4 linked regions of the Callithrix jacchus genome follow. The protein of the gene in region 1 interacts with the protein of each later gene in a pairwise test. Links are inferred from orthologs where the notes say so. Each region holds a gene or a part of one and is shown in the gene's direction. Other genes may lie near its edges.

Region 1 (3,564 bases):
CCCCTTTTAAGTATTCAGTTCAATGGGTTGTAACAAGTGGGTTTACTGTGTGCTCTCACCATAATGGGGATAGCAACAGCCCCATCACCCAGAAAGTTCCTTGGGCCCTTTGCAGACAGCACCCTCCAACCCCAAACCCAAGCACCCACTGATATACTTTGTCATTATCAATCTGTTTTGTTTATTCAAGAATTTCATACATGAAATATTTTACATCTGGGATGCATCCTTTTTTTTTTAACTTTTTAAATTTTAAATGTTTTAAATTTTTTTGATACAAGGACTCACTCTGTTGCCCAGGCTGGAGTGCAGTGGCGTGATCACAGCTCAGTGCAGCCTTGACCTCCCAGGCTCAATTGATCCTCCCATCTCAGCCTCTCAAGTGGCCGGGACTATAGGTGTACCCTACCACGCCCAGCTAATTTTTTTTTTTGTTTATATCTTTTGTACTGTGTAGCTCAGGCTGGTCTCAAACTCCTGGGCTTAAATGATCTTCCCGCCTTGGTCTCCCAAAGTGCTGGGATTGCAGGCAGGAGCCACCGTGCCCAGCCTGAGATGCGTCCCTGTGGCATCTCCCAGCAGTTAGTTCCCGTTGTCGCTGAGCAGGACGCCATTGTCCGCATTAACACAGTTTACCTGTTCACCTGGAGGTGCGCATCTGGTCGTTTCCCAACCTGCTTGCCTTTTGAGTGACAAGCACTTTATTGAGAGATGAGTTTACATAAAATCTGTTGTGCTGGTTATAGCAAGGCTAGCCACCTGGGAGGACAGGTTTGGGAATCACTGCATCCTGGCAGAGGGACAGGGCAGGAACTGGAGCTGGGTCTTTCTCTGCCCAGGGAGTTTGCTGGACTTTCTCAAGGGGGAAACGGGCAAGTACCTGCGGCTGCCTCAGCTGGTGGACATGGCTGCTCAGGTTAGTCAGCCCCTCCCTTCTCCCCACACCCTTGGTCCTCAAGCACCCAGACCCATCTGGTGCAGCCAGTTCTGGCCTCTTGAGTGCCCCCTCCAGGAAGCCTGCCTTGATTACCCCCACACTCACTGATCTTGCCACACGTATTTACCAGGTCCACTTACAGGCACCCTAAGCGGTGGTTCTGGGCAGCAGAAAGCCCTTACCTGGGCATCAGGGGTCACTGACTAATATCAGGGGTCACCTTTATAGAGATGACAACTGAGGCCCGAGGTCCCCTGTACATCAGTACAACTGATGTACTCAGTTGTCATCTCAATAGTCATTTAGTCACTCAGCAGACATGTGTTTGTGCTGACTTTAGGCAGTGCTTGACAAGCATTTTTCATCAGGAGTGACGAGGATTGGCTATTATTCCCATTGGATGGATGAGAAAACAGGCTCAGAGAGGAGACTTGGGCAGCAGGCAGGGCATGGCACTTGTCCACTTGTCTGTGTCTGGGTCCGCTGGGGCCTCTTTCCATGGTCACCTCACTTTCCTGGCTGCATCTGATCTCGGGCCTCCCCATTGCCCTTTGCTCTCTCCCCTCTGCCCCTGTGCTCCCTCCTCCTGCGGAGCACTGCTCCTGCTTTTGATGCCAACAGCATTTACCGTGAACTGACCTCACTTGCCTGAAGAAGCATGGGATGGTGGGGGAGGGGTGGATGGCTCTCCAGCCCTGGGTGCCCTGTGGTCCTGGGAGGGCATGGGTGGCACCTGAGCTGGGCTCCCATGGTTTTGCCTGCAGATCGCCTCTGGCATGGCATATGTTGAGCGGATGAACTACGTCCATCGGGACCTTCGTGCAGCCAACATCCTGGTGGGAGAGAACTTGGTGTGCAAAGTGGCCGACTTCGGGCTGGCTCGGCTCATCGAAGACAATGAGTACACAGCCCGGCAAGGTGGGCAGGGGCTTCGTGGCACGGGGCGTGCAGCCTGGGGCAGGTCACGTCCTCTCCCAAGCCTCAGTTTCCTTATCTGTCATTCCTCATGGTGCTCACCTGGTGGAGCAGTCACGACAGGTCAGAGCTGCCCTGACCTTTTTCGTTCCTGCAGGTGCCAAATTCCCCATCAAGTGGACGGCTCCGGAAGCTGCCCTCTATGGCCGGTTCACCATCAAGTCGGATGTGTGGTCCTTCGGGATCCTGCTGACGGAGCTCACCACAAAGGGGCGGGTGCCCTACCCTGGTAAGAAGGTCCTCCCGGCCCGTCTCTAGTCCCTGAGCCCTTGCCCTGGTGGCCTTGGGTAAGACCTGACTCCTGCTGGGCCTGTTTCCCCATCCATACAACAAAGAAGTTGAGCACCTGATCTTAGGCTCTCCTGATGGTCCATGCTCTCAGCTTCGGGGACGGGACCTACCCATGGTTGCACCCAACCTGGCCTAGGCAGGAAGCCCTCACCATCCTCCCCATCAGCTTCCCGCACCCCACTTTCCTTACTGGAGCCAGGCTTCCCATGCCTCACTCTGCCCACAGGGATGGTGAACCGAGAGGTGCTGGACCAGGTGGAGCGGGGCTACCGGATGCCCTGCCCGCCCGAGTGTCCTGAGTCCCTGCACGACCTCATGTGCCAGTGCTGGCGGAAAGAGCCTGAGGAGCGGCCCACTTTCGAGTACCTGCAGGCCTTTCTGGAGGACTACTTCACGTCCACTGAGCCCCAGTACCAGCCTGGAGAGAACCTCTAGGCACGGGCGGGCCCAGACTGGCTTCTCGGCTTGGATCCTGGGCTGGGTGGCCCCTGTCTTGGGGCTCGCCCTGCTCTGCCTGCCTGCTGTTGGTCCTCTCTCTGTGGGGCTGAATTGCCAGGCTCGAGGCCCCTCCCTCTTTGGCGGCATGGAAGGGGCTTCCGGACCTAGGGTGGCCTGAGAGGGCGGCAGGCGTGTGAGACCAGCACAGTGACTGTCCAGCGCCCACTCTAGCCACACGCCCCTCCTTGCACTCCCTCCTGGAGCTCTGTGGGTCTCTGGAGGAGGAACCGGGAGAAGGGCTGGGGCCGGGCCTGAGGATGGCCTTTTCCAGCCTCAGCCTACTCCACTCACTGAACTCCTTGCCCACTTCCGTGCCACCCCCAATCTGTCTCGAGAGCTGGCCAAAGAGCCTTTCCAAAGAGGAGCGATGGGCCCCTGGCCCCGCCTGCTCACCATCCTGCCCCTTGCCATCCATTCTGGAAACACCTGTAGGCAGAGGCAGCCGAGATGGATCCTCTGCCGCTGCTCCCAGGCTGGGCAGTAGGATGAGTACCCCTCAAACCCTGCCTCCTTAGACCTGAGGCACCTTTGGAGATCATCACTTCCTTGCCCCCATTTCACTGATGGGGAGACAGTCGAGAGAGGGGATGTGACGTGTCCAAGGCCACAGAGCAGTTCAGAGTGGAGGCGGCTTGGAACCGGTGCTCCCTCTGTCTTCCTCAGGAACCAACAGTTCGTGGGAGGCATCACGAAAAGACTGGGACAACCCAGGGGACAAGGGATCTGAGGATGCGTTCGAGATGGCAGAATCGCACTGCCGCTGCCTGCTCGGCCGGGCTGTTGGGGAACAGCATGGAGGCAGATGTGGGTCTGAGCTGGGAGTCAGGGTGAAAGGTGCAGGTGTGGAGAGAGAGGCTTCAATC
Region 2 (3,564 bases), about 60 Mb from region 1:
CTGGGGCTTAGATTTGGCAGGGGGGAAGTGGTGTAAGAGGGGCCCCCTGGCTTAAGAGTCATTTTTCTGAGAAGTACCAATGCTTTAGGGAAGCAGCTTTTCCTCCCCCTCCCTCTTCCCCACAAGCACACGTTCTCTGCATCTTGACCTCAGGTAACCCTCACTGGGGGAAGGAGGGCCAGGTGCCTGCTTCTACTATAGTGATCCCTTGAGGTGGCACTGTGGACTCTTTCCCCTCAGGATTGGTGGGGAGAGGGCCTTCAAGTCTCTGAGTTCTGTCCGTGTCTCCCCAGCCTGCCTGTGCTATCCTGCCACCCCTAGCAGTGTCTGGGCCCTGCTTCCAGGTCATCTCTGCCAGCCAGGCATGGTGCCAGCTGTCTGCTCAGCTGGGTGCCACGGGAAAATATCCAGCAGCTCAGGTCGGGGAGCTCCACGGGGAATGCCCATGTGCCTGTTCCTCAGTGCCCACTCACCTGTCTTTCTTCTTTCTGCAGCATCACAGGACATGGCCCCCTCAGCCGCCTAGCTGGGGCCCATCTAGGAGTGGGATCTTTTTTGGTGCCCTGAAGGCCAGCTCTGGACCTTCCCAGGAAAGTGCCAGCTCACAGAACTGCTTGACCAAAGGACCGGCTCTTGAGACATCCCCCAACCCACCTGGCCCCCAGCTAGGGTGGGGCTCCAGGAGACTGAGATTAGAGGACAGCAGCTCCAGGACAGGGCGGGTGGGTTGACCACCCAAACCCCGTCTGGGCCCAGGCCCCATGCCCCGAGGAGGGGCGGTCTGAAGCCCACCAGAGCCCCCTGCCAGACTGTCTGCCTCCCTTCTGACTGTGGCCGCCTGGCATGGCCAGCAACAGCAGCTCCTGCCCGACACCTGGGGCCGGGCACCTCAATGGGTACCCGGTGCCTCCCTACGCCTTCTTCTTCCCTCCTATGCTGGGTGGACTCTCCCCACCAGGCGCTCTGACCACTCTCCAGCACCAGCTTCCAGTTAGTGGATATAGCACACCATCCCCAGCCAGTAAGTCTGGGTGTCGGGGGAAAGGGGGTGGGAGGGGACCGTGGAGGGCGGTGGGCCTCAGAGCTTGGGCTCTGGACATGTCTGTTCTGCTGTGAGTGGAAGGCACGGTGCTCTGCATCTTCTCCAGTTGGGGTGACCGTCCTTTGAGATCTTGAAAATGAAAGCCCTATGGCCTTTAGGCCAATCATGGTGGCTGTGTTTGAAGTTGGGGGTGGCAGAGGGGGAGATGAAGCCATGCTATTCTGGCCTGCAGTGGCGCTCACACCCCTCTTCTGTGCTATGCTGTTGGGGCCTTATAAAATAGCTCCAAGGACTGGACACAGAGGCTGGAGGTGGGTAAACAAACCTCTTGATGTTTGATGGAAATGGCAGCTCTACCTAGAGTGAGAGCAGCACACCACCTACGCCCCACCCTGACTCGGTGCCTCTGAGGGAAAGGGCTTCAAGGAGCAGACGGAGGAAGGCTGGCTGGAACCCCACCTCTACCCCTGCCAGCTCCACCCCCTGGCTATGCTAGGATGTGCTTCCTTTTGTGGGGAGGATGAGAGGGAGGGGCCCATGGTCTGGCCGGGTGAATAGGGTGAGTGTCCCAGGAGGGGACACTTGGCCTGGACTCTGGCCCCGGATGCATGCGTGGTCTTGGCAGGGCATGTGTTTTCTTTGTCTCCACCCTCTGCCATGGGGGGGTCACTCGTTGGCAGGGCAGGGGTCTCAGTACCCTTCGCTGGCTGGCCGAGCCAGGTAGTGGGAGGTGGCAGCAGCTATGGCCAGCTGGCAGAGTCCAGGGCTGGGGCCTGCCAGGCCGCTTACAGTAACTCTGGCCCCCAGGGCCCAGCTGGGCGCCAGGCCAGAGCTGGGGGGAGGAGGGAGCAGGGGCCTGGCCTGGGACAGGAGGGGGTGGAAGCAGCAGAATGGGTCATGGGCTGCTGGCTGGCCAGCCAGTCAGCTGTTGACCTGAGAAATGTGTCCCACCTCTTCTGGCCGGCAGGGACTGCACACCCTGCCCTGGGCACCCACCACCCTCTCAGGCTGTGGGCAAGCTGCCTGGCACCACTGCCCTGTGTGCCTGGCTGGGCTGGGTCAGTGCCCCCCTCTCAGTATGGGGGCAGCGCTCTCTCCCCGGAGCCAGGGAGTCTCTTTGTCCCTGGGGCAGGCCCTGGCTGGGCGCCTCACTGCCCGCACTGGCTGGCTGCCCACCGCCACCACTGCTTCCTGGATTGCCTCCTCTGGCTTAGCTGTGGCCCCCTCCCTCCCAGACTCCACCAGCCACCAGGAGCAGGGGCTCTATGTCTGTGTTCTTTACGTTCCCCACCCTTTCTGCTCTGGGGCCAGTGGGCAGGCAGGTGCTGTCTCAGTTTCTCTTGCCACCCCTTATCAAACCTTTGTCTTCTGTTTCTGCTGTCTCTTCTCTTCACCTCACGTAGGAGTGTGGGATGGATAGAAACTGGGGACTCTGATTTTTGTTTGGTCCTCCAGTCTGTGTTAGTGATGGATAGAGGCCAGCCTCTGGGGTTTAGGGTTGCTGGGGAATGAGTTGGTGTATCTTTGTAGAATATTCACTGCATTTAAAGGGACTGTGATTTATATTCTGGGATTGGGCCACTGGAACTAGAAGAATGTCTAGCTTCCTGACAGGGTAGGATTTTATTTTTACTTTTTAAGGCAGGGTCTTGCTCTGTCATCCAGGCTGGAGTGTAGTGGCACCATCTTGGCTTACTGTAGTCTCTGCCTCCCAGGTTCCAGAGATTCTCATGCCTCTGGCTCCCAAATAGCTGTGATTATAGGTGGGTGCCATGTACCCAGCTAAATTTTTGGTATTTTTAGTAGAGATGGGGTTTTATCATGTTGGCCAGGCCAGTCTTGGACTCGTGCCCTCAAGTCATCTGCCTGCCTCAGCCTCCCAAAGTGTTGGGATTACAGGTGTGAGCCACCACGCCTGGCTTTCTTTTTTTTACATAGGGTTTCACTCTGTCTCCCAGGTGGGAGTGCATTAACATGATCACAGCTCACTGCAGGCTTGATCTCTTGGGCTTAAGGTATCCTTGGGCTTAAGGCATCCTTGGGAGTAGCTGGGACTACAGGTGTGCATCACCGCACCAGGCTAATTTTTTGATTTTTCAGAGACAAGGTCTTACCATGTTGCCCAGGCTGGTCTCAAACTCCTGAGCTCAAGCAGTCCTCCTGCCTTCGCCTCAAAGTGCTGGAGATATAGGCATGTGCCACTGCATCCAGCTCAGGGTAAGATTTTTGAGAGAGGAGAAGTTGGGGACCTGCGACCTGGTGCTTGTGGACAACTTGTCCTAACCCAGGTAATGGCAACAGAGTTCCCAGACACTCTCTCCACCTGCAGCCTGGGCTCACTGAAGGGTTGGAGGTGGGGGCAGGGGCCTGGCCCGTCCTTGCCCATCCTGGCCAGAGGGAGCAAATGCTTTGCCCTCCCCTGAATGTTGCAAGCTTCTTCCTCTTTCTTAGAGATGGGTGGGGAGGGCTTCCCATCCTGGTAACCTTCTCCCCAAATATGGGTGGGGTGCCCACATTTCAGG
Region 3 (3,564 bases), on another chromosome or scaffold:
AAGTGGGGGGCAGGGGTTGGAGAAGCAGATTCAGGGATATTGAAAAGATGAATATTTTAAATCTGCATCATCAGTCATTATGGAGATCCCTAGGGATGTGGCAAAGCACTACACTTACGTAATTGTGCTTCAGTATGTCCCTTGCCTTAACTGAGTTGAACTTAGTTAAATTGAGCTGCCTTAATTGAACTGAAAGTGCCAATAAAAATAGAACAAAAACTGCCAAAACAAATTCTGTGGATGCTGGAGCACCAGCCATATTCAGTCTCATGACAGCCAAGACTCAGCAGCTCCCTTGTCGATTTCACATATTTGTTATTTATTCTTGATTTGAAATTAAAAGCCTGGAAGAGAAGCTAATTATTAAAGGGAATCAAGGAGTCAGGCAGCGGTGGGGGTGGGGTGGGGAGGAGGAGATTTAGGTGAGCTGTTATTTTGCTGCAATTGGGACGCCACAGTATCTCAATCCTAGAGTTGGAGGGCAGTTAAATGCAGGGCAGGGCAGGATAGGGGAGGCAGACTACCCGGGCGTGGTTGTGGGGACCTAAGGAGATGTGTTCCTGCACGTGATGCTGTATGAGGAACTGAGGCTCAGAGAAATCCAGATGGTGGATAAAAGGTAGGTCCATCTGACTCCAAATTGGTGGTCTTCCTGCTCCAGCCAGGTGCCACACAGTGAGATGTAGAGGTGGCAGCAGGGGCCCTGCTGTGGCTGTCCAAGGCACGTGGTACACACAGGAGGTAGCAGAGGAGGCTTCACACACTGGCCATTCCTTTATTAAACTCTCTTTAGATGGGGAGCCCTCCCTGGGGCTAAGAGTAGAACTGCTCTCACCTTCTGACCATCTCTGTGTATCTGTTACTGCAGATGAGAAACACCATATAATGGTTTCAGGGGACTAGATATACTTGCATGGCAAGGCCATAATTATGGGCCCGGTGAGTACTTCAAGGGGACATTTAGTCTGTCTGCATTAAGCCAGGCTTCTCTTCTAGCTCTGTGATGCAGCTGGCTCTGAGAGACGAGCCCTTGGGGAGGTAAGACCATGCTTATAATAAGATCCTGCCACACATGCAGATGTCAGAGCAACCCAGATCACCTTGGAGTAGGCACGCTGTACAGCTGAGCACATGACTTCCACTCCTCTGCTCAGAGCAATGACTTGTGGCTTTTATTCTTTGTCCAGGTATGTACCCTCTGGTCACAGCAACCCAGGATGCTGAGAGCAGCCAGAAGCTGGCCCACTTGCTGAATGCCGTGACTGACGCTTTGGTCTGGGTGATCGCTAAGAGTGGCTTCTCCTCCCAGCAGCAGTCGGTGCGCCTGGCTAACCTCCTGATGCTCCTGTCCCACATCAGGCATGCGAGGTATGCGCCTTCGGGAGCTGCTCGGCTCAGGCGTGGGGTGGGATTATGTGCTCAGAGGAGGGTGAAGGGATTTGGGAAGTGTTTGAAAGCTAAGGAAAATGAATGCCTGAAAGGGAATGGGGGATTTGTCAGCTTACACACCTGTAACCAAAGATGGGCAGAGTGGGCATTGAAGGAATGTCACGTGGTATCTTTCAGGATCTTCACAGCATCCAGTGGTGGCTCATCTGTTTTTCAGTTGCTGGGTTTATAGCCTGTTTATGGAGTCCTAAAAGGGGCAGTTCCTCCCCTTACATGAACTGCCACCCCTCTTTATACCACCCAGGGCTGAGGCCCTGAAGTCATTTTTTTGTGGAGAGGCTCAGACCTCTACTAGATGGCCCTTTAAGCTGGTGATATGGAGAAGTGCACAAAGGCTTCCCTAAGAGTTGTTCTTTTGATGGCATCAGGAAATTAAGGACAAGACCTAAGAGAAGTGGTATGCCCAACAGATGTAGGAAGGCAGAGCTGAGGGTATGGCATGTTTCTGATCAGGAAATGTAATGGTGTGTGGTGGTGGCTACTGCCAGGACAGTGATGCTCAGTGCTTGGTGTCACCCAGAATGGAGGGTAGACTTACCCTGGAGCTCGAGGAGGGAAGTCGAGAAGGGAAGGTAATTAAGTGCTCACTGAGGAGCAAGTATAAAGACTGTGGGGAAGGACGATATATACCCCAAGAATCTTCTTTTTTTTTTGAGATGGAGTTTTACTCTTGTTGCCCAGACTGGAATGCAATGGCGCCATCTTGGCTCACTGCAACCTCCGCCTCCTGAGTTTGAGGGATTCTCCTGCCTCAGCCTCCCAAGTAGCTGGGATTACAGGCATGTGCCACCATACCCAGCTAATTTTGTATTTTTAGCAGAGATGGGGTTTCACCAGGTTGGTCAGGCTGGTCTCGAACTCCCGATCTCAGGTGATTTACCCGCCTTAGCCTCCCAAAGTGCTGGGATTACAGGCTTGAGCCACCACACTTGGCCTTCACCTCAATAATCTTAAAAAGCAAGAGGAGAGGAAGAAGACTTCTGCCTGTTTCCCCTTTAATGGTTACTCAGCACACAACCATTTTGTTTGTAGATACACTTGATCCTGTGTTTGTAGATTCCTTAATTGTGAATTTATCTGCTTCCTAAAATTTACTTGTAACCCCCAAATCAGTATTCATGGTGTGTTTTTGAGGTCATTAACAGTGGCAAAAATTTTGAGTCACCCTCTATGCACAGTCCCAGCTGAGATGGAACAAGCAGCTGCTCTCCTACTGTAAACAAGTGTCCTTTATTTGGTCTACTTAGCGTCATGGTTTTACATTTTTGTGCTTTTGGTGGGCAACTTCACTGTTTAAATGGGGCCCCTGGTGTGGTGCTGAAGAGCTGTCTAGTGTTCCTCAGTGTGAAAAAGCTGTGATGTGCCTTATGGAGCAAGTATGTGTTAGATACGCTTTGTTCGAGCCTGAGTTACAGTGCTGTTGGCCATGAGCCTAATGTTAATGAGTCAACGATATTAGATGAGGCATCTTTAAAAAGAAACACACATGCAACAAGGTTTTGTGATTAGCCAATGAAGATGTGACCAGAGGCTTGCAGGAACCTAACCCCGTGTTTCCCCTAGGAGTGATAATTCAGTGTTCACAGTGACGTTGTGGAACATAATTGCTGCAAATAATGAGAATCGACTGTCCTATGTGCCAGGCCATTGCGGGTGTGTGGTGGGGCACAGAGGCTGATAGGACACTCCTTGCCCTTGAGCATAAATTATCAGGGGGAGCTGGATGCATGTGCCATGGAGCAATGGGCTGGCAGAAGTGTGGGATTAGGGGTGGGGTAGACTGGCTGTGCGCAAAGAGAACTGGGGAAGGGTTTGGTGTCCTGTGGCTATCTCAGAGGAGGGAATCTCAGCACCTTTTTGTCCCCATAGTAACAAGGGCATGGAACATCTGCTCAGCATGAAGTGCAAAAATGTGGTCCCAGTGTATGACCTGCTGCTGGAGATGATGAATGCCCACGTGGTTCGCGGGTGCAAGTCCTCCATCACGGGGTCCGAGTGCAGCCCGGCAGAGGACAGTAAAAGCACAGAGGGCTCCCAGAACCCACAGTCTCCGTGACGCCTGGCCCTGAGGTGAACAGGCCCACAGAGGTCACAGGCTGAAGCGTGAACTCGAGT
Region 4 (4,019 bases), on another chromosome or scaffold:
CATAGCTGTTTCAGAAACGGTTCAGAGACCATTGCACCAGCAGACTTGCTGGGCTCTAGCACTAGTCCTCACTGATAAGCTGTCATGTCGGGCAAATCACTTAACCTTTCTATGCCTCAGTTTCCCAGCCTTTCACGTTGACCCTCTAAGCCATGGTTTCCTCCTCTGTAAGAGGGGAATAGCGATATCTTCTCTGGCTAATCATCAGCTGCTGGATGATTTTGTGGGCATTTCTATTCCAGAAGATTATGTTGTGATTACTACTTATTTGTACATTCTCCCACTGCACAGTGAGTTCTGAGAAGGAGGGAACCCCATCTTTTTCACCTCTCCCCTGGCACCTAGGGCGGTGCCTAGCACACCGTCAAGGGGAGCAGTGAGTAACTTTTAGCCCAACTTTTCTGTGTGTATTTTCCGCAGCCACACACAGGATGGATTCTTTATCTCTTCCCTTCAGGCCGATGCCACGGCGGGGAAGGGGGAACTGGGGACTGGGGACCAGGGAAGCTGAGACTCAGCTCCCTTGGGTGAAATTCGCGACAGGCCGGGAACGTGGTCAGCCGCGGTCGCTGCTGAGGTGACCTCGGTGGGGGCGATGACGCGACTCCAGTTTCCACTTGGGCCCCCGGGATCTTTTACCCCCGTCTGCGGGATCAGGCTGAGCTTCCCGGCTTTCTGCAGCAGGAACGCGATTTCCCACCCGTGCCCGTCGGCAGGCGCCCCCCAGCGTCCCGCGGGCCCAGGTGGGGGTGACGCACCCGGCCCGGGGTCCGCAGCAGGCTGGAAGGGTGGGGGGCTGCGTCCCCGAATAACGCAGGCTGAGGCGGGGATCTGCTCCTCTGTATTCATCGGCAACTCTGTCCCGCACAGGGCAGGAGCGAACCTTGCCCCATGGGCGACGGTCGATGAAAGTTTCACGAGGCAGAGTCTCTAAGGCGACAGCGGGGCGGATGATTCCAAGTCAAGATGGTTGCGGGGCAGACCGAACTCCAGGCAGGAGAGGACGGGACCTGTGGGCGGGGCCGAGGGCGGGGCGGGGCCTGCTTGAGGGGCGGGGAAGGGGCGGGGCCTGCTCGAGGGGCGGGGAAAGGGGCGGGGCCCGCTCGAGGGGCGGGGCCAGGTGCTGGGCTGTCTCTGCTTGTCAAAAGGCGGCTGCCGAGCCGTGGGCGCCGGGAGCGCGGAACAGCTTGTCCACCCGCCGGCGGGACCAGGTGCGGACCCGGGAGAAGTACGGAAGGGGGTCTCAGGATAGGGGCTCGAGGTCGGGGCGTCGGGGGTACCGGGGCGTGAGTGCACGGGTGCGAGCATTAGAGTCCAAGTCTCCGCGGTAAACTTGGCGACCGAGATCCCGGCTGCTGTGCCATGAGGCTGGGACACTAAGGGGGCACTGAGGTTTGAGAAAGCCGAAGTTCGTGCCAGGCTGGGGAGGAGGGTGGCGACATCCTCAGTGCTCAGGCAGCTTAAAGGAGAAATGCTCCGCCAGCGCCGGGCTCAGCACTTGGGCAACAAGAAGCATTTGTTTCCTTCCTCTGCCGGGGCGCCTTGGCATGGAGTGAGGAACAAGAAAAGGAGCGATTGGCTGTCGATGGCGCTCAGGGCTGCGGAGCGGAGGGCGTGTAGCCTCATTTATCTCACAGGGCTCAGGTACGGTCACCTGCGATGGTGGAGTTGGGTCTTTTAAGTAATTTTTTTCTTGATTTTTCTTTGAACTACCAATGATTTTAGACTTAAATCGCCCTGTTTTTCCAAGACAGCCTGTCAATAGATGTTCAGAGGATCTCAGGGGCAAGCATTTAAATGAGGAAGGGGCTCAGGGAGTGGTTTCTGTTTGGGAAGCGAGGTGCCCTGTTTCTGTAGGTGGCGGTGAGGAAGATTCAGAAGTATCTAGGCGGGAACAGCCTGTGGTCTCCAGGGCCAGTGGACAACTGTCCCTCCTTCTCTTCACCCAGGGACCAGAGTCAGAGACCCAGCCTGGGCTGGCGGAGACTTGGGTCTCCCAGCCCAGGCCCTTCTCTCAGCTCCTCCTCCTCCTGTTCCTCCTCCTCCTCCTCCTCCTCCTCCTCTATGCGTGCGGTGAGTGAGTCAGCCTCCTGTCTGGGTTCAGTTGCAGCCAAAGGGGCCAGAGCCCAGGCAAGCAATTGAGCAGGCATTTTCTGAGCATTGCAGAAGCTCTCCTGGGCAGAGTTCGGCTCTGCTCCAGCTCCCTGCTGGAAGGTGGTCTTCCTCATGGCAAGGGCTCAGACGCCAACACGGCAGTGATTGTGGAATGGCAATGGGATGATTCCAGCAGGAGGTCACTGTGAAGGGACAGTGGCTTTGTGATAAATCCACATCTCACCTCTCTCCTGGGATCTCAGCACTGCAGGCTTTTCCAGCCTTTCATTCCATTTCTGCCTAGTGGTCTTGTCAGCGGCCCATCTCTGCTAGTGAAGTGGGTGAGCAGAAGAAACTGGGAAAGTCTGGGACCAGGGAAGTCATGGTGTCGGCAAACGAGGTTTTAACCCAGGTTGGGGAGTGGGCTGGTTTGCTGAGGTAGAGATGGGTCGTCTGAACACTGGAGCCTCAATTCTGTGAACTGAGAGTGTTGTGTGTTGAGAGGACTTCTGCCATCCTTTCACTGTCCAAGTGCTGGAGGCAACTGTGGGTCTTTCTGAAACAGCTTCAGGGCTGGCATGCAGCCCCACCAGGAGGTGGTAAGACTGTGCATTTCTCCCTGGCTTTTGTTTTGGGTGCTAGAGACCCTGAGCAGAAGTCGCCCTCCCTGCAGAGTCCACGGCCCCCACTCACTAACATCTCTGGACCTATTTGAGAAGAGTCCTGGGAGGCCAACCAGGCTGTGAGGCTGATTCAAACTGCAAAAAGCTGGGGAATTCACAGTCTGTGCTCTGGCTGGATCCCATGGCTTTGGGTTTGGCTGCTCCTGATCAGCTGTGACTTGGACCCTTACCAAGCTAAAGAAGGAACTTGAAAATGGGGTAAGAAAGGAGGAGGAAAAATGATAGTTAGAAAGCTTCCCCAACCCTTTGCTCCTCTTCAGCAGAGGCCAAAGACTTCGTTTGTATAAACATTATGGAAGGTCAGGTACTGTTTGGGGTGCCCTGATAATTTATGTTTATGGTTTCTCAGTCTTCCCCTATTTGACCTCGGACCTGATCTCTTTTGTAACTAAGTCCCAGAGGAGGCTCCAAGAAGACCTTTGGGACCCCTACACTCTACCCCTAGAACAGGTGTCCAAAGCCCAGGCTGTCAATGGAGAAAGGCCTGGGGTCAAGTGGGCTACATCAGGTGGTTATCTAAGACAGGAAAGGGAGTTTCCACTGTTTCACTCTGTCCTGGGTGGGGTGGGCCTCTGGAACGTCTGCTGGAAACTCGCCGTTGCCTGTGCAGCAGTCAGGTCCTAGAGGCCAGAGAGCCAGAGACAGGAGGAGCACCTGGATGACGTTTGGTGTGTTGCTGAATAAGGAATTACAGGGCTCCAGCATCCATGTGTCCCTGCTGCAGCTCTGTTTTGGATGCAGGCAGAGGGAAGTAAAGAATTGACGGGATTTGATTCGGAGTCTCTTGTGCACCCAGCATGACTCCAGGCCCTCTGAGGGATGGCAGGAAGCAGAACTCACCAGACCAGCCCCTGACTCCAAGACGATTTGAGCCCCAGGGTGGGCAGCAATTCTCAGGCTCTCCCTCCACTATTGTCCAGTTCTGAGAGGATCCAGCTTGGCTGAAGCCAGCCTGGCTGTCACTCTAGGCCACCATGCCCCGCTTCTTGTTCTGCTTCTCTCTGATTTGTCCCTAACCTTTTCCTGTGTCAGTGCCCTCCTGGATATGCGAGAAAGAGTCCCTGTGTAATGTATCTTGCAAACTGGGATACTTTCGAGAGTGAAAAGGGATGCGGTGCATGGTTATACCAGGACAATGGACACAAAGCCAAACTGCCCAGGGAAAAATGGAACATTCATCATCCTAGTGATGACCACTCCAAACCCAGCAGAGGTCATAGCAGTGATGAGGGGACGATGAGG

What was found.
Region 2: the proteins of SRC (region 1) and RARA interact in a two-hybrid assay, tested with the Homo sapiens proteins (2 studies listed by BioGRID). The link is inferred for Callithrix jacchus from reciprocal best matches to the Homo sapiens genes SRC and RARA.
Region 3: the proteins of SRC (region 1) and ESR2 interact in a two-hybrid assay, tested with the Homo sapiens proteins (2 studies listed by BioGRID). The link is inferred for Callithrix jacchus from reciprocal best matches to the Homo sapiens genes SRC and ESR2.
Region 4: the proteins of SRC (region 1) and VDR interact in a two-hybrid assay, tested with the Homo sapiens proteins (2 studies listed by BioGRID). The link is inferred for Callithrix jacchus from reciprocal best matches to the Homo sapiens genes SRC and VDR.

Annotation. Positions count from the first base shown.
Region 1 is NC_133506.1:32,839,182-32,842,745, forward strand, and holds part of SRC (proto-oncogene tyrosine-protein kinase Src), read left to right. Parts: intron 1-839; coding exon 840-916; intron 917-1,701; coding exon 1,702-1,855; intron 1,856-2,009; coding exon 2,010-2,141; intron 2,142-2,429; coding exon 2,430-2,638; 3' UTR 2,639-3,564. UniProt on the Homo sapiens protein: Non-receptor protein tyrosine kinase which is activated following engagement of many different classes of cellular receptors including immune response receptors, integrins and other adhesion receptors, receptor protein tyrosine kinases, G protein-coupled receptors as well as cytokine receptors.
Region 2 is NC_133506.1:92,929,822-92,933,385, reverse strand, and holds part of RARA (retinoic acid receptor alpha), read left to right. Parts: intron 1-494; 5' UTR 495-843; coding exon 844-1,021; intron 1,022-3,564. UniProt on the Homo sapiens protein: Receptor for retinoic acid. Retinoic acid receptors bind as heterodimers to their target response elements in response to their ligands, all-trans or 9-cis retinoic acid, and regulate gene expression in various biological processes.
Region 3 is NC_133509.1:98,892,809-98,896,372, reverse strand, and holds part of ESR2 (estrogen receptor beta), read left to right. Parts: intron 1-1,187; coding exon 1,188-1,368; intron 1,369-3,318; coding exon 3,319-3,505; 3' UTR 3,506-3,564.
Region 4 is NC_133510.1:2,199,058-2,203,076, reverse strand, and holds the start of VDR (vitamin D3 receptor), read left to right. Parts: upstream 1-1,171; 5' UTR 1,172-1,644; intron 1,645-2,102; exon of another isoform or gene 2,103-2,435; intron 2,436-3,322; exon of another isoform or gene 3,323-3,397; intron 3,398-4,019.